Mytilus edulis: one gene and its partner. The protein of the gene in region 2 purifies or fractionates together with the protein of the main gene of each other region. This does not show direct contact. Links are inferred from orthologs where the notes say so. Each region holds a gene or a part of one and is shown on either strand. Other genes may lie near its edges. The genes, in order: enhancer of rudimentary homolog and chromatin target of PRMT1 protein-like.

What was found.
Region 1: the proteins of chromatin target of PRMT1 protein-like (region 2) and enhancer of rudimentary homolog purify together in Homo sapiens (affinity purification with mass spectrometry; 3 studies listed by BioGRID and IntAct, with this or other methods). This does not show direct contact. The link is inferred for Mytilus edulis from reciprocal best matches to the Homo sapiens genes CHTOP and ERH.

What each region holds. Positions count from the first base shown.
Region 1 is NC_092346.1:72,439,624-72,451,693, reverse strand, and holds the start of enhancer of rudimentary homolog, read left to right. Parts: upstream 1-7,017; 5' UTR 7,018-7,122; coding exon 7,123-7,125; intron 7,126-11,720; coding exon 11,721-11,808; intron 11,809-12,070. Other genes in the region: zinc transporter ZIP9-like, read right to left, coding at 540-734, 1,004-1,109, 6,801-6,896. UniProt on the Homo sapiens protein: May have a role in the cell cycle.
Region 2 is NC_092354.1:21,883,137-21,895,778, forward strand, and holds the start of chromatin target of PRMT1 protein-like, read left to right. Parts: upstream 1-7,414; 5' UTR 7,415-7,553; intron 7,554-9,045; 5' UTR 9,046-9,059; coding exon 9,060-9,118; intron 9,119-12,035; exon of another isoform or gene 12,036-12,423; intron 12,424-12,582; exon of another isoform or gene 12,583-12,642. Other genes in the region: meiosis-specific nuclear structural protein 1-like, read right to left, coding at 1,161-1,263, 2,931-3,058, 3,755-3,970, 7,003-7,005. UniProt on the Homo sapiens protein: Plays an important role in the ligand-dependent activation of estrogen receptor target genes. May play a role in the silencing of fetal globin genes.

The DNA of each region.
Region 1 (12,070 bases), on a different chromosome or scaffold from region 2:
TCGCATTTATCAAAACTGGGGAATTCCCTCTGACGTGTTTCTAAATTTATAAAAACACTAAATATAAATACTGCTTAATTCTGATTTTCCATGTTGTTAAAAACACGCATATAAGTCAAGGGAAAAATCAAACATGAAGATTATGAGAAGAACATTACAGGAAAGTTGTTTATGTTCAATACTTTTGCTTGTTTTTACCTTTTAAAGCAAGACAATCATAAGAATCTGAGATGTTGCTGAATGTTTAGAATAAAACGGTTGACGTGAGGGAATGAGCCCTGAGTCAACGGTAAAAGTCTACAGATTGCTTAAAAGCAATCGTATCCCAAAAACAATTTTCTACAAAAGAATATGAATCTTACTCTTAAAATTTACTTAAATCCTTAAGATTAACTGTTAGGGGATTGTTTACTTATTTCTGATTTGTGTTCAAAGAAATAGTTTTATTATCAATTTGCAGGAGACTGGATTTAACTGTACTTTTTTCACTGGTAGATTAAAGTTTAAAAGATTATGCATGTGCATAAATTATAGCATACCTGATGAACCATGCATATGTGATCCTCCTATTTGGTCAACCAACAACATAAATATAAATCCTATTACCAAGGTAACACCAATTATTGAATGATTATCTTCCATTCCATGGCTGTGATGGTCATGTGATGAGCCAGCCTCATGTTTATGTTCTGTTGCCTCTTTTTCAGTCGAAGAATGCTCATGATCGTGATGACCTACAAATAATCATGAATAATCAAATGATTTCCCTGATATATGTTTGTTATATTTGCATTAAAAAGTTACAGACATGGAAGAGCTGGACATTGTAGAATCTATCTTCATAAGATGTTTCCAAATATGTTATTTATATTTTTCTGGCCATAGGGTTTCACTGTAAAAAAAATCTTTCTTTTCCAAACGCACTATTTAACCTTGTTGATGAATACATTTAGATTAAAAAAAAAAAAAATAAGCACAATAATCACATTTTTTATCTACTAACCTGGACCAGCACTATACATAGCATGTATTCCTTCTGGTATAATTACAGCTAAAGCTGTTCCTACCAGTAGACCTGCACCAAACACTGTCACTAGTTTTAACTTCTCCTACAAAAGAACATGAAGAATATATTTGTCAACATGGTTGATGTCAAAATGTTAATAAATATGTCAAATTTAAAATTGATCTCTGGAACAGAAAATAATGAGATGAACACATTGAATGGTCAGACTTGATACATTACACTTTTAATATGATCTCAAAATTATTAATATTTCTATTTTCTAATATTTATATTTCCTGCATTTGCGCAGAAATCTCTTTTTCTTTCTTCATGTCTCATTTGTCAAATGACTTTGAGTAAAATATAATATATCTATCAGCCTACATTTTTTGTAGATAATATAAGAAAGAGCACAGTAACAATTTTATTAAAGTTAATCATTGATATGAAAAACATTTTTTTTTGTTACCTGATGATGAATGATAGTGTTTACAATGAAAATGATGTCATTACTAAAATCCCTGACAACAGGACCAACATAGGAAACACTTCAGTATTTCCGTTTCTTTTTCAACTGATTCTTACCTCTAAGTTAAAAGTAGTCCAAATCATTATGACATCTTAAATTTTTTTGATTTTCTTTTTGGCTTTGACGTCAAAGTAAAAAAATAAATAACCTTTCAAGACGTCACAATTATTTGGACTAAGTAAAAAATTTACTTAAATTCAAAAAATAATTCAAGTGGGGACAAAGTACAGCTTCAATATACCGTATTCAAAGCGTATATTGATCCCCGAATGTGAAAAACCATGAGGTAAATTTTTTAAGCTCAAAACTATTTTGATAAATGTTTATTTCAGATTTTTATTATTACAATGCATTAGTTAAGTGTCTCAAATTTCCAAATATAAAAAATGTGCCAAAAAACTAAAAAGCTATGATCATTTTTATCCTATCCAGTTTATCGTCATGTCATTGGTGTACAACTGGAATCAAAGAAATAATATGATTCTGAATCATTAGATTTGCATTTTATAAAATTAGTAATTTTAATGTTCTGTGGTATATTTCAGTAATTTTATTGTGATTTTTGTAGTTCTGTTGTGATTTTTGTAGTTCTGTTGTGGTATATTTTGAGTGTTCAACTTCTGTGGTATTCTGTGGTAAAAAGACGCTCTGTAAGAAAAGGTTTCTACAGGTAGGTTCAAGCCCAATACACTGTCGCATCCTACATGTACCTTGTTCAACCCTACACGCTCTCACCCAATTCTTATTCAAATTCCAGTTGAATTATTCGACATCTTTTTATATGTACATGTTTTTATGAAATAAATTATATTTTCCTGAATAAAACTTGAGGAATTATTACATGTATATGTTTTCTTTTTCATTAATTTGATGAATACTTATTTAATGTTAAAGGGAAACTTCGCAAAAAAATCAAAAATTGATATTATGTTCATTCTGTATAAAAATGTTCAAATTCATAGATATTAAAGTTTTATTCCGCTAGATAAGCGATCACCATCGATTTTAAATTTAGAGTATCCGCCATCTTGTCTTGTTTCCCGATGAATAAAAACGATATGTCTATAAACCACAAAGAAACAAAACTACAGTAACCGATGTAGTCGTAATTGCGTGTCGATATCTTGTCAATCGTACGGTTGTTTAATACGACTAACTAACTTGATACGGAAAATATTCTTACTTTTTTTAAATTACCATGGTCTGTTGTTTTTAAACTGTTGATATTGGAATTAGGTGAAAAGTCAAAGTTGAAATCATAAATAAGTGTTCATAATTCTTTAAAGTAATAAACTTTTTTCAAATATATTTTGATCTTCCCTTATCTGATCACCAGCATGGCTAAAGGTATTACTTCCAAAGGTATTGTGAGGGGTGTGAGGTGACACGTCCAGGTATTCAAGCGATTTCCTGTCGGGCTTGCAAGTTCATGCATCGTTTCACTTCTGCAGGTATTGATCAGTGTACACGGCTGATAACTTATAACTTTCCATTTTGAACTATCAGATGTATAATATACAACTCTGTCTTACTTGTCATTACTAAACTCATACGCTTGTTTATAAATAACATTTCTGGTGTAAAGAATATAATTCATAATATATAAATAATACCCAAAAAATAAGATTTGATGAAATTAAAATCTATTTAAATATTTTTTCCAAGGGTGAATTTGGGAAAATGTAATATATAGTCATTGTCAATAGTGAAGGACAGATTGGAACAGACCAGAAATATTGATTTAAAAAAATGTACGCACTTGCCGACGATTCGTTTATACGACTGGATATAAAGTTACGGAACTATAGCGCAATTTAAAATATATACGTGTATACATTGAACATAAGAAAAAAACATATATTTTGAATAAATAGGGGTAAAAGTGTTGTAAATAGACTAGCCAACGTATGCCAACAGTATGTAATCATCGAATGTCGATAGACTACAGTTGTATACCAAAAGAAGAAGAGAACCAATTTGATTTAAATACAGGTCGATGTATAACTTTTGCTTTGGTTCATTGAAGCTGTGGACCTAGGAAAATCACAGATTTATATTTCAATAAGATTGTTCTCAAACAAAGGAAGGAATTCGTCATCACAATTGTTATATATGCCACTGGACGAACACTAATTATCCCCAGGGGATGTGAATATTTTGCTGGGAAACTTTTGAGTATCAAAGTTTCAAATTAATTTCGGGATTTATTTTCTTTCTTGGTATTCAATAACCGAAAAAAGAATAAATTACTTGTTCGCTAAATAGGGATATTCTTGTCAGATAAAAGAATTTTAGTTATATTTAAAAAATAGGGAAATATGACATTAAATTGGTTCTGTCTTTTTTTAAACATCGTTAAAACGATGTGTGTCTAAGGTGAACGCCACAAGAACCCTGTAATACTAGTACGAGAGTATAGCATGTAAACATTCCTTCTCAATAATATGGTTGTATTGGAAAACTTTTCATACAGATTGACAACTCATTGTCCGATATGCATGTAATATTTGCCACATGACGCCCATAGTTCTTTCTACCATCATCACCTTATTCCTTGATATTGCTGTAAACATCGATGGTTCACACCCAAACAAAATGGGAGTAATGAACCTTCAGAGCTTCTCCGTGTTATACACTTGTGAAATATATAGACGAAATTTCTGTATTGAAATGAATCTACATCTCACAAACAGGATTTTCAAATAACGATTTTGAGTAATCACCTTACAAACCAATATAAACGTATGGCAAGATATAACCATGAAGGAATTTAGTTTTTGTCAGAACTCATCACTATATCATAAACGTATACGTATATATATGCATACAGTTTCAAATATCAAGAACAAGCGTTCGATGTCGATAGTCTGTTCTCTAACTGTTCAGAGTTAGACATGTCACTTGTTCATTCTTGGAAGCCTTCATATTCCCCGTCTAACGATGGGAACTCTTTCTGATTGTGTTGACTATAAATGCTTGTATGGTAATTCTGTCGTTTATCTGTACAAGCGGTTGCATTTCCTCTCCTTTCCCAACAAACAAACGAACGAAACGCAACTAGTCTGATTTCTCTGGAGCTCATCCTCAATGGCTCTTATACGTCAGGAAACTTACATGTATACTAATAATGATTGTTTCATGAACAACGATGTATGAACGAACTATTATAAATTCGTCAATATCTGTAATGCATGACTAAAGTATAACTTTTATTACAACTACTGTATTACTTATTTGGATTAATGACGGCTATCATGTTCAACATTGCACAACTATTATCATAGAATTTTAAAAAAAATCCTCAAAAATCCTCAAAAGATATAATGCCTTAGCTTAGATAATTAGTATTCTTTTCACAAAAAGTTCGTGTAAATGATTGTTAATTATGTAAGAATAAAATGTTAAAAAGAAACTAAAAAAAAATTATGCATGTTGTATGTTGTATTTTTTTGTCAATTAAAAACTTTAAAATTGCAATAGTTTTATTAGCATTTAAACACAGCCAGATTTGAATACAAGTTAAGAAATTCCGGTAAAGTCAATGATATCAAACAGATGTACAATGGTATATCAAATTGGGTAATATTGCATTTAGTTTTTATTAAAGATTAAAACTACTATTTTTTGCTTCATATTTGAATCTTTACGCCAATTGCCGCTAAGAAAGTAATCAAAAATTGTTTCCTTTTATTTTTATACACTTTCGGAATTACGAATCTGAATTTTATTTTCAATTAATTTACACAATTTAATTATTGTATCTTTATTCTCATCGTGTATTTAATCTTAGTGTATTAACATCATGACAGCATATACTCTAATCCTTTCTATTTATCCTTTCCAAATAACAACATTTATACCTGTGTACGCTTGAACTCACACCTGCGGCTAAATAGCTACAAGGTAAACGAATTGACCTCAAGCCGAGAAATATACAGTGACCTTTACAAAATAATATACACACTCTGCTCACACATTAGTTGCATTGAAATGATTATCAAAACAATAACGGTAAATAGAACTGAAATATTTTCAGTTCAATATCAGTAAAAATGTTCAATAAATATTTTATGAAAAAAATCTCAACAATAATTAATTAAATTTATTCAAAAACATTTACTAGAGATAATTTTATAGGAGTTTAATTCAATCAATACAAAACGGTATATATATGCATATTCACTTTCGTTCATTCTTATATTGTGGTTTATAACTTCGACCATTCGTCAGCTGTGCGCTTTTAATTACGTATATTGTCGATAAGCTATAAGAGTTAAACAGATTTTATTTTTTCCCAGAATTCAATAAATCGGGCTAATACGTCACGACCCACTCGAGAATTCAACCAAAAAAGTTACAAATACTTGATTTTCTCCGTTATTAGAAGGAATATAAATTTAAAACTTTGCAAATGTGTTTTTTATGTTAAGATGAACATAATTAGATGATAAGTAAAAAATCGCGGAATTTCCCTTTAATTATTAATGATTACTGCTAATTGGTATTTATACACAGCTAAATTGGGTTTTATTATTTTGTGTTTGAAAATCATGATTGTTGATTTTAATAACTTACTTTGATGTAATGTACTTAGCTTGGTATGCAATAACCAAAGTGTGATTAAAATTTCTTCAACCCAAAAACATAATGTTGAATGTCAATTTATCTTGAAACAATGAAAAAAAATATTTATACTATAGCAATACACTAACCAAAACATGATTAAGAATAAACAATGATTTATTTAACAAAAAATAAAAAGTCAGAATCTTACTTCATTTAATTAAGGCAATATATTTACATTTGTTCACTAACTAAAACATGATTAAAATTTATTTTAAACTCCATTACAAATCATTAAACACAAAAAGTCTTATGTACAATGTACTATACAAATCCTTGACAAAACCAAATAAAAAGGGTGCGATCGTTTTTTGGGTGCGAAAGTGAAAAGGGTTGAAAGAGAAAGGGCTCGAACATGCTTTTGGGCCAACGGACCTGTATTCGTATGAAGAAGGTTTTTTTTTACTAAATAGCCTTAATAGGATGTGATTGATGGCTTTTACTGTCCCAACCAGTCACCACGCAGTTGTTATGACACACTTCATTTTTGTAGTGATTTATTTAAAGTGGGATATCATAAAATCCTGTTGCTTAGAAAAACGTCTTTTTTTCATAAAATTTCACTTGGCTCCTAAGATTATCTGTCAGCTGTTCCCTGAAAAAAAAACTAGTATAAAAAAAAGTCAATATGTGGAAAGTAACCTCTGAAAATGTGATTGCAAGTGGTATCAGTCCTGACATGTAACAACCAATTAACATAGCAAGACAAAGTAAAAGCAGTGTCCATATTTCATCCATTTCTTGACGTTTTCTTTGGTTAGATCATAACAACAAATCGGAAAGTCGTGTCAGATATTGAAATCGAACTCGAGTTATACTGCTGAAGAATGAACGTTTATTCCGTTTCAATAAACGTTCCAGTGACTTCAGATTTTGTTATGAAAAGTCAAAAGAGATTCCGATTTATTAACCGCGCCATCTTGGATGCTGAAAGAAGCGTGTGGAAGTCCAATAATCATTCAAAATGGTAATTTTGCATTAAAGAAAAAATGCTAAAACAATTTCCCGACGTTGCTGAAGTCCAACATCGATATAATATTACAAATTTAACTTACTTTGTGATAACGAAAGTGTTTGGCACCAGAGTACAACTCTGTTGACTTGTGAAGTCTTGAATTTTGTTTTGGTACAGACACTTGGGTATAAAAGTGGTAGGGTGGCCCATTTTTACAGTGCTCCAAACATCTTATTTTATAAAAGAGATTAATTTTTCATTGATAGTTGACAGACACGATATAATATACAAAAGAAGATGTAGCCCGACTTTAAATAAAATTTACTTACTTTTACTCACTTACGTGGTATGATTGCCAATGATACAACTCTCAACAAGAGACCAAATGACAGAAATTAACATCAATAGGTCACTGGCCTTCAATAATGAGCAAAGCCCAAACTGCATAGTCAGCTATGAAAGGCCCCAAAGTAACAAATGTATAACAATTATTAATAAAACGAGAAAACGAACGGCCTTATTTACATGTATGTACTAAAACTGAAAGAAAAACAAATATGTAACAAATCTTTCTTTCATTGCTTCGTAAATTCCTCGGCCAGTGTCACAATGTAATAAAATATAAACCTTATATTTATATTAAACATTAATATAAAAGAAAAGGTGGTAAAGGGATATATTTACAGCAGGCAATTATTTATCTTATTAGTATACTTAAAAACACCTTCGCTATGTTAACATATCAACCAACGACAACCACTGAATTACAGGCTCCTGACTTGAGACAAGCACAACATACAGAAAGTCAGACATGGGGTCAATTACATTTGAAAGTAATTAATTACATTCAATTACAATTACAAAATCTTCAATTAAATTACACATTACATTTGACTTTTTTTACCAATGTAATTAATTACATTCCAATTACTTGGCAGATGTAATTAATTACTTCAATTACATTTGATTCCCAAAAATCCTCTCATTTGTCTACTAGACCAGAGATCAATGGTTAAGCACACACTTTCAGCTCTTTTAAGAGTATTTACAAGGTTATTTTTTATTTCAACCGATTTTTCATGTAGAAGTTTCGAAGATAAATGCTTTCTGCTAGGCACTTGATACTTAGTGTCAGCTTTTTCCATCAAGTTTTTAAATTCTTCACTTTCGACAATAGAGAGTGGTAAAAGATCCCCAGCTATGAACATGATAAGAGCATTTGTCATTTCTAACTGTTTTGGATCAGACGGTGAATATTTTACACTTTTTTTTATGCATTGTGTCAATGTTGGTTGAATTTCTTTATTCTCAGAATGCAGAATGTACAAATCTCTGTGTTTTCTCTGAAAATTACAAAAGGCCTTATTTAATATCTTGAAAATATTAAATTGTTTTAATTTACCTATTGAAATTTTACATTTATTAGTATAAAATATAATTGCATAAAGTTAACGTTTTCTGAAGACTATTTTATTTTTAGGTCATCAGGTTCCAGAGGCTTCCTCACAATTTTGTATAAAAATGATACCATAACATGTGTTTACTTTTGCACATGTGAAAAAAAATATTTCTGACAAAAGCCAGATTTCTCTTTGTCAAAGTGGATTTATATTTATACTGCACTAAATTATTCAGAAGGAGTTACATTCAGTTAAGATTATATTTCTGATTATTATATTATAGTTTTATCAAACTCTCCCAAACAGCAACGTACTGATCTTGTCAACTGAGACTTGTAAATTTGAACTATTTGAATAAAAAGACATCTAATTCACATGATAAAGGAAGATTATAATTAAAGACAACAATTTATCAAGAAATAATTCCGTTTTATTCAGAAAAAACAAAATCTTCTTGCAAGATTGTAAATTCGCAACTTCCGGATCCATTTCCTGTCAGGATAACATTGAAAATATTCGATTACCCCGGTTTTGAACAAATCTATCTGAATATTCTTATCAGATATTCGAGTACACGACGAAATTAACATTGAACATATAGGTAAGGGTTTGGTAGTACAGACAACTACAGCGTAAAAAATGTGCCACTTCACATGTTTCACTTCTTTACGTTTGTTACATATAAGTCAGAAGATAAAACTGAGAACATCGAATATCGATTAACTGCATCTCTTATGCGCTTTCTTTTAATCGTATTCACAATTACTTTCAAACGCAAAAACGACAAACTTTAAGTTTTATACGATGACGGAGCGAACATGAAAAAAATCCGCAAAAAAAAAAATTCTTCTAAAAAACGTCAAAAAAAGAATTTGAGTCGGCGGGTTTATTTTGGGTCGGTCGCGTTTGGGCAAACATACAATCTTTTTATTTTGGCCCTATAGGCCCTAGGGGTATATTTATCTCTCTCTAATTAGCCTTATATCTGTTTAACATAACTGTTATAAAAACAGTCATTATATAGTTTGTAATAAAACAAATAGCCAGAGGTTATATTTATTGGTTATTTAAGTCCTTGAATAAAGTTAATTATGTTAAATCAATGTCTTAAAATATCTATCTAAATCTACTAATTAAGGTCAAGACAGTGACTTCCTAGTGGTTTCTTTTAAAATTATGGCATGTGTCTACATTTTTTTTATCATTCAATACAAAATGAAGAATCTACCATGGTTGTGTTAATACAGAAAGTATACTGTGAAGGCTTTTCTTTGTCAGCTTACAACATTTGTTAAGATTATTGCTTTTAATAATTTTTTGAGAAAACACAAGATTTAATCTTTTGATCCAAAATTTCAAATGTAATTGACTTGTAATTGAAAAGTAATTGTCAATTACAGGCAATTTTGGCTATGTAATTAATTACATTCAATTACATGTAATTGAAAAAATGCTCAATTACACATTACATTCAATTACATGATAAATTGTAATTAATTACAGTCAATTACAATTACATATTTCAATTACCCCATGTCTGCAGAAAGTGGGTGGTTAAATATGTTAGCGGGATCCCAACCCTCCCCTAACTTGGGACAGTGGTGTAACAGTACAACACAAGAAAGAACTGTAAAAATCAGTTGAAAAAGGCTTAACTCATCAAGTTTCAAGTTTTTATTAAATCAGGAAAATCAATACAAGTATAATGATGTCTTCCCCCACATTAACATGATATTACATCACAAATAAATATATATAATGTATGACAAAATATCAAATCAAGGTTAAATGAATAAAATTACAAAGATTCAAAGCATAATTGTATGTAATGGCATATATTTTTTGTATCATCAATATTTTGTTGGCTAAGTAAACTAATAATGGTTTTCATAACTTTTTCAGGGCACAGATCTTGTGAATTAAAATTTAGTTTATTAAATAAATAGTTGTTTTCTATAATTTTCAAATTTTTTGCAATAAATATAAAGGAAATGTTTTTCATCCTCTATTTGATTGCAGTTCAAGCATATTCTGTTTTCTCTCTTAATTTTTGGTCTGAAATATCTACCCTTTTCAATCAAAAGAGGGTGGGAACTAATTCTTAATTTTTTAAGTTTTCTTGTTATATTAGGAGAACATTTAGATAGATACAAATAGAAATATATATAACAAAGACACAAAGTGGATGTGGCCAGGTACTTTTTTATCCCAACATTAAAAAGACAATGAATACTGAACTGAGAATACTCAGTTAAAAACAGCTAGTTCAAAGCCAATAACAACTAATAAAAAAATCATGCATCTGAGACTAAATTATCAATCAGTACGCATCCAACATCCAATGGATTTAATGTAAAACAGTCATTAACAGTCGGAGAAAAGCATGACCTTGTGCAAAGCTAAGATACAGGTATCGACAGATTGTTGATCCATGAATGTGTATATGAATATAACAATATTATTTAGTTTTCTTTTAATTTGTTGTTAACGAAATCAATATTAATACCAATAAAAACAATATTCAATGATCTTATTACGGTGTTGAATTGTTAACCTTTAAGAATTATTTAAAGGAGTGATAAGTTTACCAGGATTGTTTCTAAACTTCTGGGCACAGTATACAACATTTCCATTAAAACAAGGATGTGCTGTCCCGTTTGAAATAAGTTTTCTACTTTTAAACTTCAAAACCAAATCTTTATATCTATCACTTCATAATAGACACAGGCATAATGTTAGGTTTTAATGCTTTGCCTAACAGTTATCTAGGAAAGTGCCCTGTCGCAAGGATTTCTAACAAGCATCACACCTTAAGCCCTGCAAACAACTTATACCTTGCACAGACATTAACTAGAAGATGTTGATGTGGAAAATACCTTATAGTTGCTATTTGTCAAGACCTAACCTAGTCTCAATGGAATAAGCTTAAACAACATCAGAACCATCAGTTTTCTCCACAGGAACCTTGGCCGATGCAAGCCATCAGTCTTATTGAACACTGATCATACCATTGATAGAGTACCCAGTCAAATTGTGAGACCTTGAACAGGTAGAACACAAAATGACTTTATGTATTTGACCAATTTCGGTGGGATACTCTACATCAAAATGAAGGGGTTTCAAGTTTAGTGACATTAGTACCATGTATGTTTACGATGGAACTGTCCTTATTATATAATTTACTTGAAATAATTTTTATATTTCCAGTCACACACTATCTTATTGGTACAACCAAACAGTCGTCCAGACACAAGAACATACTCAGATTATGAATCATTGAATGAATGTCTAGAAGGTAGGGAGTTTTTTCTAATAGATTACATGTATGTACAAATCAATATTACATAAATGAGAGCAAGCTTAAGATACATCTCAGAAATAAAATTTTGTTATACATGTTAAAAATGTATATTAAAAAATGTTAATTGCCTACTAAAAATCAGACAATATGTGAAGAGGATTAGGAAAAAAGTCTGTATAACTGTTTGTTGCAAAATGTTGATAAAAAAGGGAAACACTATGTGGCCCACATCTCAAGCTAAATGGCCATAAAAATA
Region 2 (12,642 bases):
CATCAATTATTTTTCCATGGCCTTATTTTATTGAACAATATTCTCTATTCTTTATAATTTGGTACCTAATAAATCACTATTCAGTATTCTTGATTCCTCCCCCTTTATTCTCCTATATTGTCTATTATATCTATTCTGCAAACCCTCATCCAGACCCTCATACCCATTTGTACTCTTGTCAATGAATTTCATGTTCTAATTATAATTCATTAGTTGGGGATTTTTTCTAGATCTGTTGAATTTTCACTGACTCAATGGGGAAACAAAGGTGGATAGTATTCCAAATAATGAAAAGCATTTGTTGTTACTCTTGGTAAAGGGTTATTTTCGTGCAACGTGATCACCGTTTTTTATTTCACGTTCAACGTGTTTTACTTTTTTATTTGACGTTCAGTCGTGCAAGACGGGTGCCTCGTTCAAAGGGTTCTGCTTATTTAATTTTACGTGCATTGTGATTTTCAATGTCTTATTTTGCGTGCTCGGTATTTTTCAAATAAAATTCAAACACTTGGCAGGGATTGTCAAGAAATTCTTTTTAAAAGCCGTAAACCAATTATATCATAAATGTGTATACTAAATAGGGAATATCAAGTAAAACAAAGAGTTAATATATACAAGACAGTAACTCAGTCACAAAAGGTTCAAATAAAAGTATTTATTTTTCGTGCAACGTTCATTACAGAAATTATTTCACGTTCAACGTGAAATTATGTCTTATTTCACGTTTTTTTCGTGCAAGCACCCCCTCTTTACCACCCTCTTATAATTATATGCGCAGGAGAAATTGTTCAAATTATCATGGGGAGACAATTTCAATAATTTCTGATTGGTTCAAATAACAGATGAGAATATCATATTACCTTTAAGTTACTAAAGGGAGATAATTTACAAATTGAGCCTGTTGGAGCACTAATTGTTTGTAGTTGTTTTGTTGTTTTCCTTTTGTTTGTATATTTCTTTCTTTCTGAGGAGTATAGATAAGTTCTATTATTGATGTGGTCTGTTGTACTGTGTAGTAATTTTGAAAATTCCAGTTATCAATTTTTATGTATTTCTAGGAAAGCCCTGGTCAAACTCAAAAGTCCTTATAAACTCTTGAATATAAAAGTGTAAAGTGGTTGCAAAAAAAACATATCATGCATCATTAAATAAATAATTACCATCTTATCAAATTTCAGTGCTTCTTTCTCAGCGATTTGTGCTGATCGTTCTTTGTTCATGTAAGCTGCCTTAAGTTTGGATTCCAGCTCTCGAAGTTCAAGACTACAAAGATATATCAAAATTGATTGAACAAAGCATGAAATGCAAAGGAGTTCAGTAAGACCCCTTTTTGGCCCCACAATTAAGCAGTTTTGCAAAATTGTGAAAATGTAATCTTTTAGCTATTTTTTGGAAAGTAGAATGCTTCTGCTACATAAATATGTGCTATTTTTGACAATACAATGCACATATATCGTGTACTAGCATCATAAAGTCATGCTAAATTACTGAAATCTTCATAATTATAGCATTTTAGTTAAATTTTAGATGGTTTCCGTCTTAAATGAAAGTGGCCGCATTCGTGTTCATTCATAATATTGAAATGTAAGTTGTATTTGATGATAATACATAACATATATAAAGGTTGAGGATGAACACGGATGCGGCCACTTTCATTTTTGACGAAAACCATCTGAAAAGTGACGTTTTTTGGCATATTTGATAGATTTTTCATATTTAAGCTTCAATCGGAGCGTTTTTAATGACTGAATCAGTTAAAATATTTAGCATAAACTAATCGAATCAATTAAAATAGACATTTAAGTGTTTAAAAAGTGTCCTAAATATCTCGTTAGACGAAACTGAAATTTGGGGCCAAAATCGGCCCTTACCAGACCTACTCCTTTCTTAGGTAAGAAAAAGATGACCAGTGTAAAAATCATAACATGATAAAATTCATGGTTTTAAATTACAATTTACATCATAGTGCAGATGCAGATATTATGATTATCTCCCATAGCACAAAATATACTTAAATAATTTCTTTTTTTTTGTATTCAGATATAGTTTGTAGTGCTCTTTAGCTAGTAGCTTGAAAAATGTCATACAAAATAGTGAAACTGGTACTCTTACAAAACAGTTTTTTTTTCAAATTTGCAGTGAATTGAAAGACCTTAACAGATCTGCATATTTTTATTGTGTGTGTCATACATGTATCTGTGACAATCTTTTTTAAAATGATGGAAAATAAATTTGAATAGATGACATCTCATTGCTGTGACGATAAATTTTGACAAGATCCTCAGGCCAAATAAAAATATATGTGTGGTTCCAGTTACATACTTTTAAAAAATAGGGTCAGTAGGTCGGCAAATTTTTTTAATTTTTTTTAATTTTTATTTTTGAATGTCAAAATCCGGAAAAAAATTGTGTGTTTACCGAAATTGTTTCCGGTATTATACACGCCCCAAACGGAAGTCCACCATTTTTACATGTGTTTGGTTGTAAAATAAACAGTCATGATACGTTTTTAGTTAATTTTGTTGCATTCTGTTATGAATTGTTGCATTTTAGCCACAACAGAAACTTGTGATGGAAATTCAGATGACAGAAATCTATGAATTTAATTATTTTAATTCACAATCCTCAAAATTTGATCGTTTGAAAATTTATTTTTCAGAAATGAAAAAAAAAAGTTCTTGGGTCGGGGGGTTTTAACTAGGGTTGGTCGGGTTACTGGAACCACACATATATTTTTATTTGGCCTCAGCAAGGTAAGAATTTTCTGATATATAAGAAATAGAGCAAAGAGAAAGACAGGAAATTAAAAATGAAAACTTTAAAATTGAGAATGAAAATAATTGACCAAATGGTATAATAATCAACCAAAGAATATTTAGTCAACATCTAGAATATTGACAGCTTATAAAGTCACTGTAAATTATTTGTACCTTGTTTCCCTAATTTGTTGTCTCATTTTTTCATCTCTCATTCCTTCTAATTTGTGTTTCTCCATTTCCTGAGCCAATCTTTCTTCTTGTAACATTTGTTCTTCTCTGATCAATCTATCTCTCTGTGCCTAAAATGTGTATGTAAATAAAATACAGTATATTCCTTTATTTTCTTGGTTACCAATTTTGCGTTCTGATGATTAATCAATGGATATGAAACAATGTCAGTAAATCAAAATATTTCCTTTTCAAGACTTAAAAACTTTTTATTCTATAACTTTAAAATATAAAATAAATTAAACATGTTTTTGTTCATACATTTTTTGTAACAATACATATTAAAGGTGTAAAAAAATTGAAACTGGAAGTGAACGTCCTGTATGAGCCCATGGGCCAATACAGCTTTTTTTGCCCTGTTCCTAAAGCAATATTAACTCTTGATTTATATCAACGGTGGAATGTTTTCAGGATTGCGCAGACTGATTTGCTCATATCATTCAATAATCTGTGGTTCCAATGTAGTATGTGCTTTGTTTAATTTTTACCACTAGCCATGGTCTGCCCTATATTTTAGACTTAGTAGCTTTTACCAGTTGCATTGACATTTCAATAAAATATACATTGTGTATGTGCATAAAGTAATTTTATATTACTTTTTTTGTTGTTATGAATAATGTCTGTGAGTTAAAAAGATCGTGCGATCAAAACCCTTTCAACAGGTTACTAAATAATTGTTTTCAAATGTAGTTTTTTTTGTAGGAAACATGTAAATGTAATGAAAGTTATTCTTATGAAAAGGTATTACAACTAAGTTTAGCACAAACCTTGAGAATTGTGTCCTCCATATCTCTCTCTTTCTGCTCCATCATCATTCGTCTGATGTAACGTTTCTCTGAGAGTTTTTCTTCATTACTCATATTTGCCTCCAACAACTTCTGGGTGCCCAACTGACGGATGGTGTCTTCCCGTACTTCTTCATGCCTACGGTAGTTCTGTAACTGCCGTTCCCTCTCAGAAGCAGTCAGTCTCCGAACAGTTGTCTGAAATATGAACAATTGATTTTTAATAAAAAAAAAATATGAAGATTTATCATAGCATTACACTAACATGACTAAGGAGTTCAGGCTCAATTTATTTTTCATATTACATTAGAAAACAAAAAATATTGCATCGTATAAGTTCTATTCTGTTTCAAAGTGATGCAATTTTTCCTTTAAAAATGCCTTGTACCAAGTCAGGAATATGGCCATTGTTATATTATAGTTCGTTTCTGTGTGTATTACATTATAACGTTGTGTCGTTTGTTTTCTCTTATCTTTGTGTGTAAATTCACATTGCGATAAGACGTGTCACGGTACTTGTCTATCCCAAATTCATGTATTTGGTTTTGATGTTATATATATATATGCAGTGATTTTGCTAGCGCTCGTCACTTTCGTATTTTACGAAAGGGTTTTCTCATTGACGAAAGTATTTCAAATCAATTTCGTCACTTTAATTTTGAAAGTGTAAAAAAAAATTCGCAATAAAAACTATAAATCTACCTGTCTTCATGTTTTTGACAAGTTTATGACCTCCAGGTAATTAACATTTTCAACAGGTGTGATTACAACTAATCCGCTCAGATGGGTCACTTATCCGTAATTTATTAATTAACCCCATAATTGAATGACCATCATAATTATTTCCCCAGGAAAATCAGTCAGTCGGCATTTCAACAACCAGGAGTATAATTTCGTCATTTAATCAAAAATGTAACAATGCCGGACAGTTCGCATTTGAATTTCAATATTTCCCAAACGATCACAATCTGAAGTTAGTTTATCGTAGATTCGTCATTCGAAGGCATTTTCGTCATATTTGATTTAAATTTTCATCAAAAACTTTCAACAATTTCCATTTAAAATAAAGAACTTTCATGTGTTTATTCAAAAAGTTCACGAGAAATGTTTTAAACAGGTGCTTCCTGTATTGTGTTCTACGCATGCGTGAAAGTATCCTTTTGACTATATAGACATTAAAAACGTAAAATACGAAATCATTTAGAATCAATTAAACGAGAGAGACAAATATATATCTCTTACTAAAGGAATTTAAATCGAAAAATAATAATTTCCTGATGAATCCGGACTCGTTTTGAATTTATTATCCACGTGTCACTTCCCGTTTTCGTTTCATTTTAAAACCGAAAGTAGTAAACGTGATCTATTGTTGATTTGTTTACAACCTCCTTTCAGTCATTATAATCGTTCCAAAAAGGATATAATACATTTCCATCTTGATAGAAATGATATCCAAATATCGACTAAGATGTTTTATAAGGATAATGATTATGCAGTGAAATAATCATTGCAAATTGATTTCTGCTGTGATTCCTTGTTTAAAAAAAATAGAATCCAACTTTTGTTGTTCAGGAATGACCCCTGGAATAAACTGAAGAGAAATTGTGATTCCATGTCAGAATCTTTCATAATAATAGCCAATACAGTCAAATCATACAATAACTGCCAATCATGCTGGTGCCTCAATCCCTTAAAATCTGACTAAGTCAAAAGATGAAGCTAGTACTATACATCATTGTTCTATTGCTTATACACAAAATAAGGTTGATTTTAATAGCGCGCAAAAGTGACTAAAGCCCTCAAAATCCTAGCTTAAACCCTGTATATATGTTATATTTGTTATTCTCGTGGGATTTTGTCTATGTGTGTTACATTTTAGTGTTATGTCGTTGTTCTCCTCTTATATTTAATGTGTTTCCCTCGGTTTTAGTTTGTTACCCCGATTTTGTTTTTTGTCCATGGATTTATGAGTTTTGAACAGCAGTATACTACTGTTGCCTTTATTTACACTGTTAAACTTTTAAATCTGTAATGCACATGTACATGTATATGGTTACAATTATGTCTTAAAAACATTCTTTGTTAGAAACAGGACTTTTTAATTATTTCAATTCAAAGAAAAAAAACATCGCTATGAAATAAATCAAACTTTATGATTCAGATTGCCTCTTTTTTTTTTACACTAATGGCGCCATATGTATCTAGATCACAAACCATAAAACATAAACTTTTTTGACTGAAAGGTGTAAATACAGCACTGGTGTGAATACCAATCATAACAATTCAAACCATTTATACAGCAAAGGAATGATAAAAATGTGCCTTGCAACACGATTATAGCATATGCATGTATATTGAACATTTATAAATCCTTCGCATAGCTAATTCTAACGGAAACTTGACTGAGCAAACATTTGTAATAGACCAGAATTGTATCTTTATTTGTGATCCCCAACAGTAGAACTATTCTTGTCATTCAGTGTTGTGAAGTCTGCTTACTATATGTACAGTAAAGGCTAGTGCGCCGCTCAATTGTAACGTCAGTATAGTTGTTGTACGTCATTTAGATTTCAATACATCATGTACATTATCAAACTAGCAAGACGTTTATTTTTTTACTTCATGCCATTGTACAAAATTTAGACACTACACACAATATACAGTAACAACGACATGGTCACAGATGTTCACATAAAATTTCATAGGAAAATATTGGACAGCACAAACATGACAAAGACAAAGTAAATTCAGTGTCCTGTAATGGCGAACAAAAAGTGATAAGTTGAATTTTATTCATGACAGGTCTGACAAACTGTACATGTGTTGCCAAATATGCAACAAAAGAATAAAATCATCGTTAGGCAACGTTGGACCTTGCACTTTTATAATGTATGCATTGTCTACCTCAGTTTGAATAAGTCATGATTTTTAAACTGGATATTATTGTGGATAGTACACATAGCTCTAACCATAAACCTAACCCGGAGCTAAAATATCCCATAACCTAACCATAACCATGAATGAACCTTCACTTATTGGCCTAAAACTCTAAAGTATAATGGTATATGGACCCTTTTTGAGTGGCATTCTTTCAACTTTGACTTTATCTTTGGTAGTAAATAATGAATTTGAAAGTGCCAGCAATTTGAAATGTAAAGGATACGATGTAAGTCTATATTTCTAATGTCAAATTTATTCAATTATTGCTCGGACTTCTTCAAAACTCTTACCATTTTGTTGGAATGTTCAAAGTTCTTCAAGAGCTGCACACTGAATGTTGTTGAGCCTAGAAACAACCGTTGCTATGGGTAAGTTAGATTGGTGTGACACAATATTTTGATATATTTTTTGCGATTAAATCGAATCAAAATAACACAATTTATTGATATTTTGACGAATACAAATTTAAATGTTATTATCTATCTCAGAAATTATTAGTTTTTGAAAAATTCAAACAATTCTAATGAGAACATTTAAAAACACCCCTATGGTATTTTGTTGATTCGTCTATTCTCTTCGGTATCACAGTTTACCAAAATTTTGAGTTTTAAAATTTTATATTTCATTTTCCTGTTTAAAAAAACATATTTTAGTAAGAACATAAATAGTCTAATAAAACAATTTCACATTTTTTTTATCATTATTTAGAGCCGAATAGTTCTAATATTTTATGAACTTCCGGTATCGGGTTGTTGACGTTTTATGTTTTGCAGATTCAGAATCATCATCCAAATTCATCGAAGTCAATTCGAAACTTTAGCAGATTTTAACAAAAAATTATGTATCCTTATCTACAAATTCATATTTTGGTTCATGTTTTACAGATTACAAAGTTGATCATGACTAAGAAAATCAAATAAGCCGACTCCGATGGCAAAAGTTGTCGGTGCAAGTTGTCAACCCTATCGAATTACGATAGGGCTTTAAACGGTCTCCCTTTTCTCCACAAAGGGTTATAACTACTCCCAATTGTTTGAAGTTGATCAACCCATAAGAGATACATTGGCAATAAAACATTTATCGTGCAGAAATAGGGTATCGGGATTGTTCGCCCTAATAACATGTTCGCCCTGGGTACGTTCGCCCTGGGTTCGTTCGCCCAGAGAGTCCGTTCGCCCTACTAAAAAATATTGATATTCAGAGCATTGAAGTTGAAAAAACTTATTCAGATATTTCTATGGTATATATTCTTGAAATTTATGGAAACAGGGAAATATTTAAAAGTTTATGGCTTGTATAGGATCATTAATTGTTCAATGACAAAATAATTCGGATCACTGATTATTGTGATACTTGTCTTTTGATGGATTATTAATAAAAATCAAACGTTTTGTTTTGATAAAATATTCAGCTTGAAATTAATAAACACAATGATGTACTAACTGTAAATCATGAAACGGATTTACAAGTTCATTATTATACTCGGAGACAGTCCTAGTCTCAGTTATACTGCATACATTCATGATTGACTGAATACAATTATTTTGTTAACAAATATCAATAAAGAGAAATACATCATGTATACCAATTCTACTCTGTAAATCAAAGAGAAAATGATAAAATGATTGCGGCAATATAAATATTCTGTCAATTTGTTAACAAACTTTAACATATTTTGTTCAAATACTTAAAATTATGCGACTGGACAACAAATAGAAAAAAATAAAAATCTGGGCGAATGGACCCTGGGCGAACAGGTATCAGGGCGAACGGACCCGGATTCCAGAAATAGATACATAGATTGATTGAATAATAAACAGTAATGGATTTGGGGTTTCCAGCACACATTTTATATTCCCAAGGCAAAAAACTGAGTAGTGTTATGAAAGAAAAGCCTAGCCTATGCTGTCATAAAACTTTCTAGAACTTGGACTCAAAAATCAACCAATCTAAATACTGGTTTTAGTCAAATTAGTGTTTTGTTCACAAATTTTTAGTCCGAGATTACTCTGACGTCCAACGGCTGTTTTGCCAGACAAGCTTGGGCCGTGCAACGTCAGAGCTCGTCCCATATCAAAAAGTGGGTATTTGCCCACCCAAAATAGATGCGCTGCTTCGTCGCTTCTGATGCCAACTGACGGCCTTGGAATTATATAAATTGGGCATCAATCTATTCATTTAAGAACCAGAATGAAAAAAAAACATGTATGGCAGGTCTACGACTAGCGTCAAATATACAAACACATAATTTTTTTGTATTTTTGCCTGAAACAAGTATGAATTAAATATGTTTTACTTCTAGTCATTTCTAATTTCCTTAACAGTTTATTCAGATAATTAAAGAAAGATGGCGGTTCCAGCTAAGATTGTTCTGAAGAGTACCACTAAGATGTCTTTGAATGATAGGTGAGAAGGAGGAGGAGCATGTTCCTGGCAGAGATTGCCTGGAAAAGTTGGAAGGAAAGAAATTTAGAGAGAATTTTTTCTCTCTATCAGTCATTTCTCTAATGACCAAAGGTCATTTCTATTGACCAAAGGTCATTTCTATTGACCAGAAGTCTTCTCTGTGGCTAGATGCCTTCTTTCAAGGCTAGTGCAAAAGAGAATGACAACAAAAAGCTATGCAAGCCAAAATGAAAAAATGCCACTGCACAAATGTGCAATTGGGCTCAAAACCTGATTTTGCCACTTAATATGTTAAATGAATCAGATTGCATGCTTGCATGCTAGTCTAACAATACACATGTTTTACATGTATGGTTAAAGTAACTAGTTATATCCTGTTGGCCACAGGTGAAAAAGGACAACAACTAGTGTCAAAGAGGCTGAAATTTGACAAGTGGCAGAAATTTGACAAGTGGCAGAAATTTGACAAGTGGCAAAACAGACAGAGTTGCAATACATGGCAAAAAGTCTTGAGAAAAGCAATAGTAAACCACAAGCACCGAGCAGTGCCATTGGATCATGTGGATAGCAAAATAACAAAAATCCAGTTACTATATTGAACTTTTCTATGCATGAATGTACAAGACTAGATTTTCTAGATTTGAAAAAGCTTCACTTTAGATATTTTCTTGCATGTTTTTTTGCTAAAAGTTAATGTCGTATATTAAAGTAATAATGGTTAGAAAAATCCGATTTCCTATTTTAAACTCATATATATAAAGTATAGTCGAAAGCAATAATCAAATGACTTTTCCTGAAATTCAGTTTGAATTTGTTTTTCTTATGTTTAATTAAGGTAGCACAATACAAAGATTTGTTCACTCCCAATCGGATAACTTTAAACTGATGTAATTCATTTAATCCTTCTTTATATATTATAAATGAGGTACCAAAAGAAAGAAGAAAGATTCATCTTTCAAATGGTGATAATTTCATTATGACATAATTATTACATAATTAATTATTATGTAATAAGTTGCTATATTGTGATGTCCACGCTTGAATGAATTTAGCGTCTTTGTTCTTCATAGCATCCCAAATTATTTAACAGATTCTGTTACAACACAGCTTGACCTCCAAAACTGTGTCTCAGATTTCCAAAAACATCAATAGAACAAATTTTATACCCAGTTGAATTTAGTGGTCTCTTATGAATTATTGTTGCAAATTTCATTGTAGATTTATGAGAGAATGAAATACAATAGGAAAAATCTGAGACACAGTTTTGGAGGTCAAACTGTGTTGTTCAAGAATCTATAAAATATTTTGGGATGCTATGAATAACAAAGAAGTTAAATTCATTCAAGTATGGACATCACAATATGGCAACTAATTACATAACAATTAATTATGTAATAATTATGTCATAATGAAATTATCACAATTTGGAAGATTAATCCTTCTTCTTTCTTTTGGTACCTCATTTATAAAATTTAAAGAAAGATGAGTGGAATTACATCAGTTTAAAGATGTCTGGTTGGGGATGAAAAATCTTTGTATTGTGCTACCTTAATTTGACAATTAATTTTGAATTATATTTTTAGACAAAGTGTAAAGTGTAGTATGGTGTCAAACAGTCGAAGAGAAATTAATTTTAATATTTAAATTTGAATTATTAATTGAAAATTATTAAACAGTCTTATGAAAATACTTTTCTTCTGAAGGGGAAATAACTCTTTTCGTTGATATTTTTCTTCAGTTATTTTCATGCAATGGTCACATTGATTTTCTTTCAAACCTATGGGATCAATCATGGCTACTTTATTTCATCTAAGTCGTAAGTTCTATCCAATAACTTCTCTAGTGGTGACATTTTAGTTCCTGTTTTCTGTCACATCATTCTGTTGTCACGTGACCTCTTTCACATGATTTCTACTATCACATGACCTTTCACATGATATCTGCAGATTTTATGTCAAATTTATACATGTGAAGTTCATGTTCTGTCTAATTTGATGTTCTATCTTTTATTATTCACTTTTCTATCTCAAGATCAGTTCGGCATCTCGTTAAATGTTGAAATGATATCTAGCGATTTGTATCTCAAGATCATTTCGGGTGAGACAGTCTCTAGCATTATAATCAAAAGTGAGTCTCTCACAAATTTTTTTTATGAGCAAGTCACATTTTAACCAAAGTTTCTGGTGATGATCTTTCTGTCTGATGCTCATACTTTGTAAAGAGTTTTATGTCACAAAATTTTGCCTGGTGACATGTTTTGTTTCACAAGACATTTTCTGATGATCTCATGCCATCAGATATCTTTAAAACTGCTCTCTTGATTTATCATTATTGTTCAAAGTTGTTTCCAATTTCAGTTCGTGTAGGTATTCTTATTTTCATACTTCAATGTTAGTGGATCTTTTGTCCTACTTTTTCATTATTGCTGTTTTCAAACATTTTAGAATTGTGTATGGTACAACTCCAGGCCAAGACAAGCTGTACTTTGACCTATTATTGTTAACTTTTTTTGGTTTAAAGTTATAATTTCTGACACAGTAACATATTAGAAGAATAATTTCTGACACAGTTAGTAACATATTAGAGGAATAATTTCTGACACAGTTAGTAACATATTAGAGGAATAATTTCTGACACAGTTAGTAATATATTAGAGGAATAATTTCTGACATAGTAACATATTAGAGGAATAATTTCTGACACAGATAGTAACATATTAGAGGAATAATTTCTGACACAGTTAGTAACATATTAGAGGAATAATTTCTGACAGTAATATATTAGAGGAATAATTTCTGACACAGTTTGTAACATATTAGAGGAATAATTTCTGACACAGTTAGTAACATACTAGAGGAATAATTTCTGACAGTAATATATTAGAGGAATAATTTCTGACACAGTTTGTAACATATTAGAGGAATAATTTCTGACACAGTTAGTAACATACATTGTATTAGAGGAAAAACAGGAAACTAGTGTACAATGTTTTATGATATTAATATTGATGATAGTTTTATAGTCATGACAATGTTACAAAAATTCTAATGCCTCATAATCCAGTTTCTGTATGGTGTCAGTATGTAGAAGTTCTCAAAAGTGTCTCTTTTTGTGTCTCTTAGTCTCACATTAATTGTTTTATTTATCCTAAAATTAACAAGTCTTCCAGCTCTTTGAAAAAGTTATTGAAAGAGATTTGCCTGCCTCTTTGCACCATGAGTGATCTATAGCTATATCTATGACATGAACTGCTTACCCTTTTAGATAACATTTTGTCCCTTATAATGCCTAGAGTAATCCTATAGGCGGATCCAAGGGGGGGGGGTTCCGGGGTTGGAACCCCCCCCTTTTTTTTGGACGATCAATGCATTTGAATGGGAGCATATAGTTGGAACCCCCCCTTTACTCTGAGTTGGGAACCCCCCCCTTTTTTAAATAGCTGGATCCGCCCCTGAATCCTATAGTTTGTATTGAGTTGTTTGTATTTCTTTGACCATCATGACCATTGCAGTTGAATATCTTTT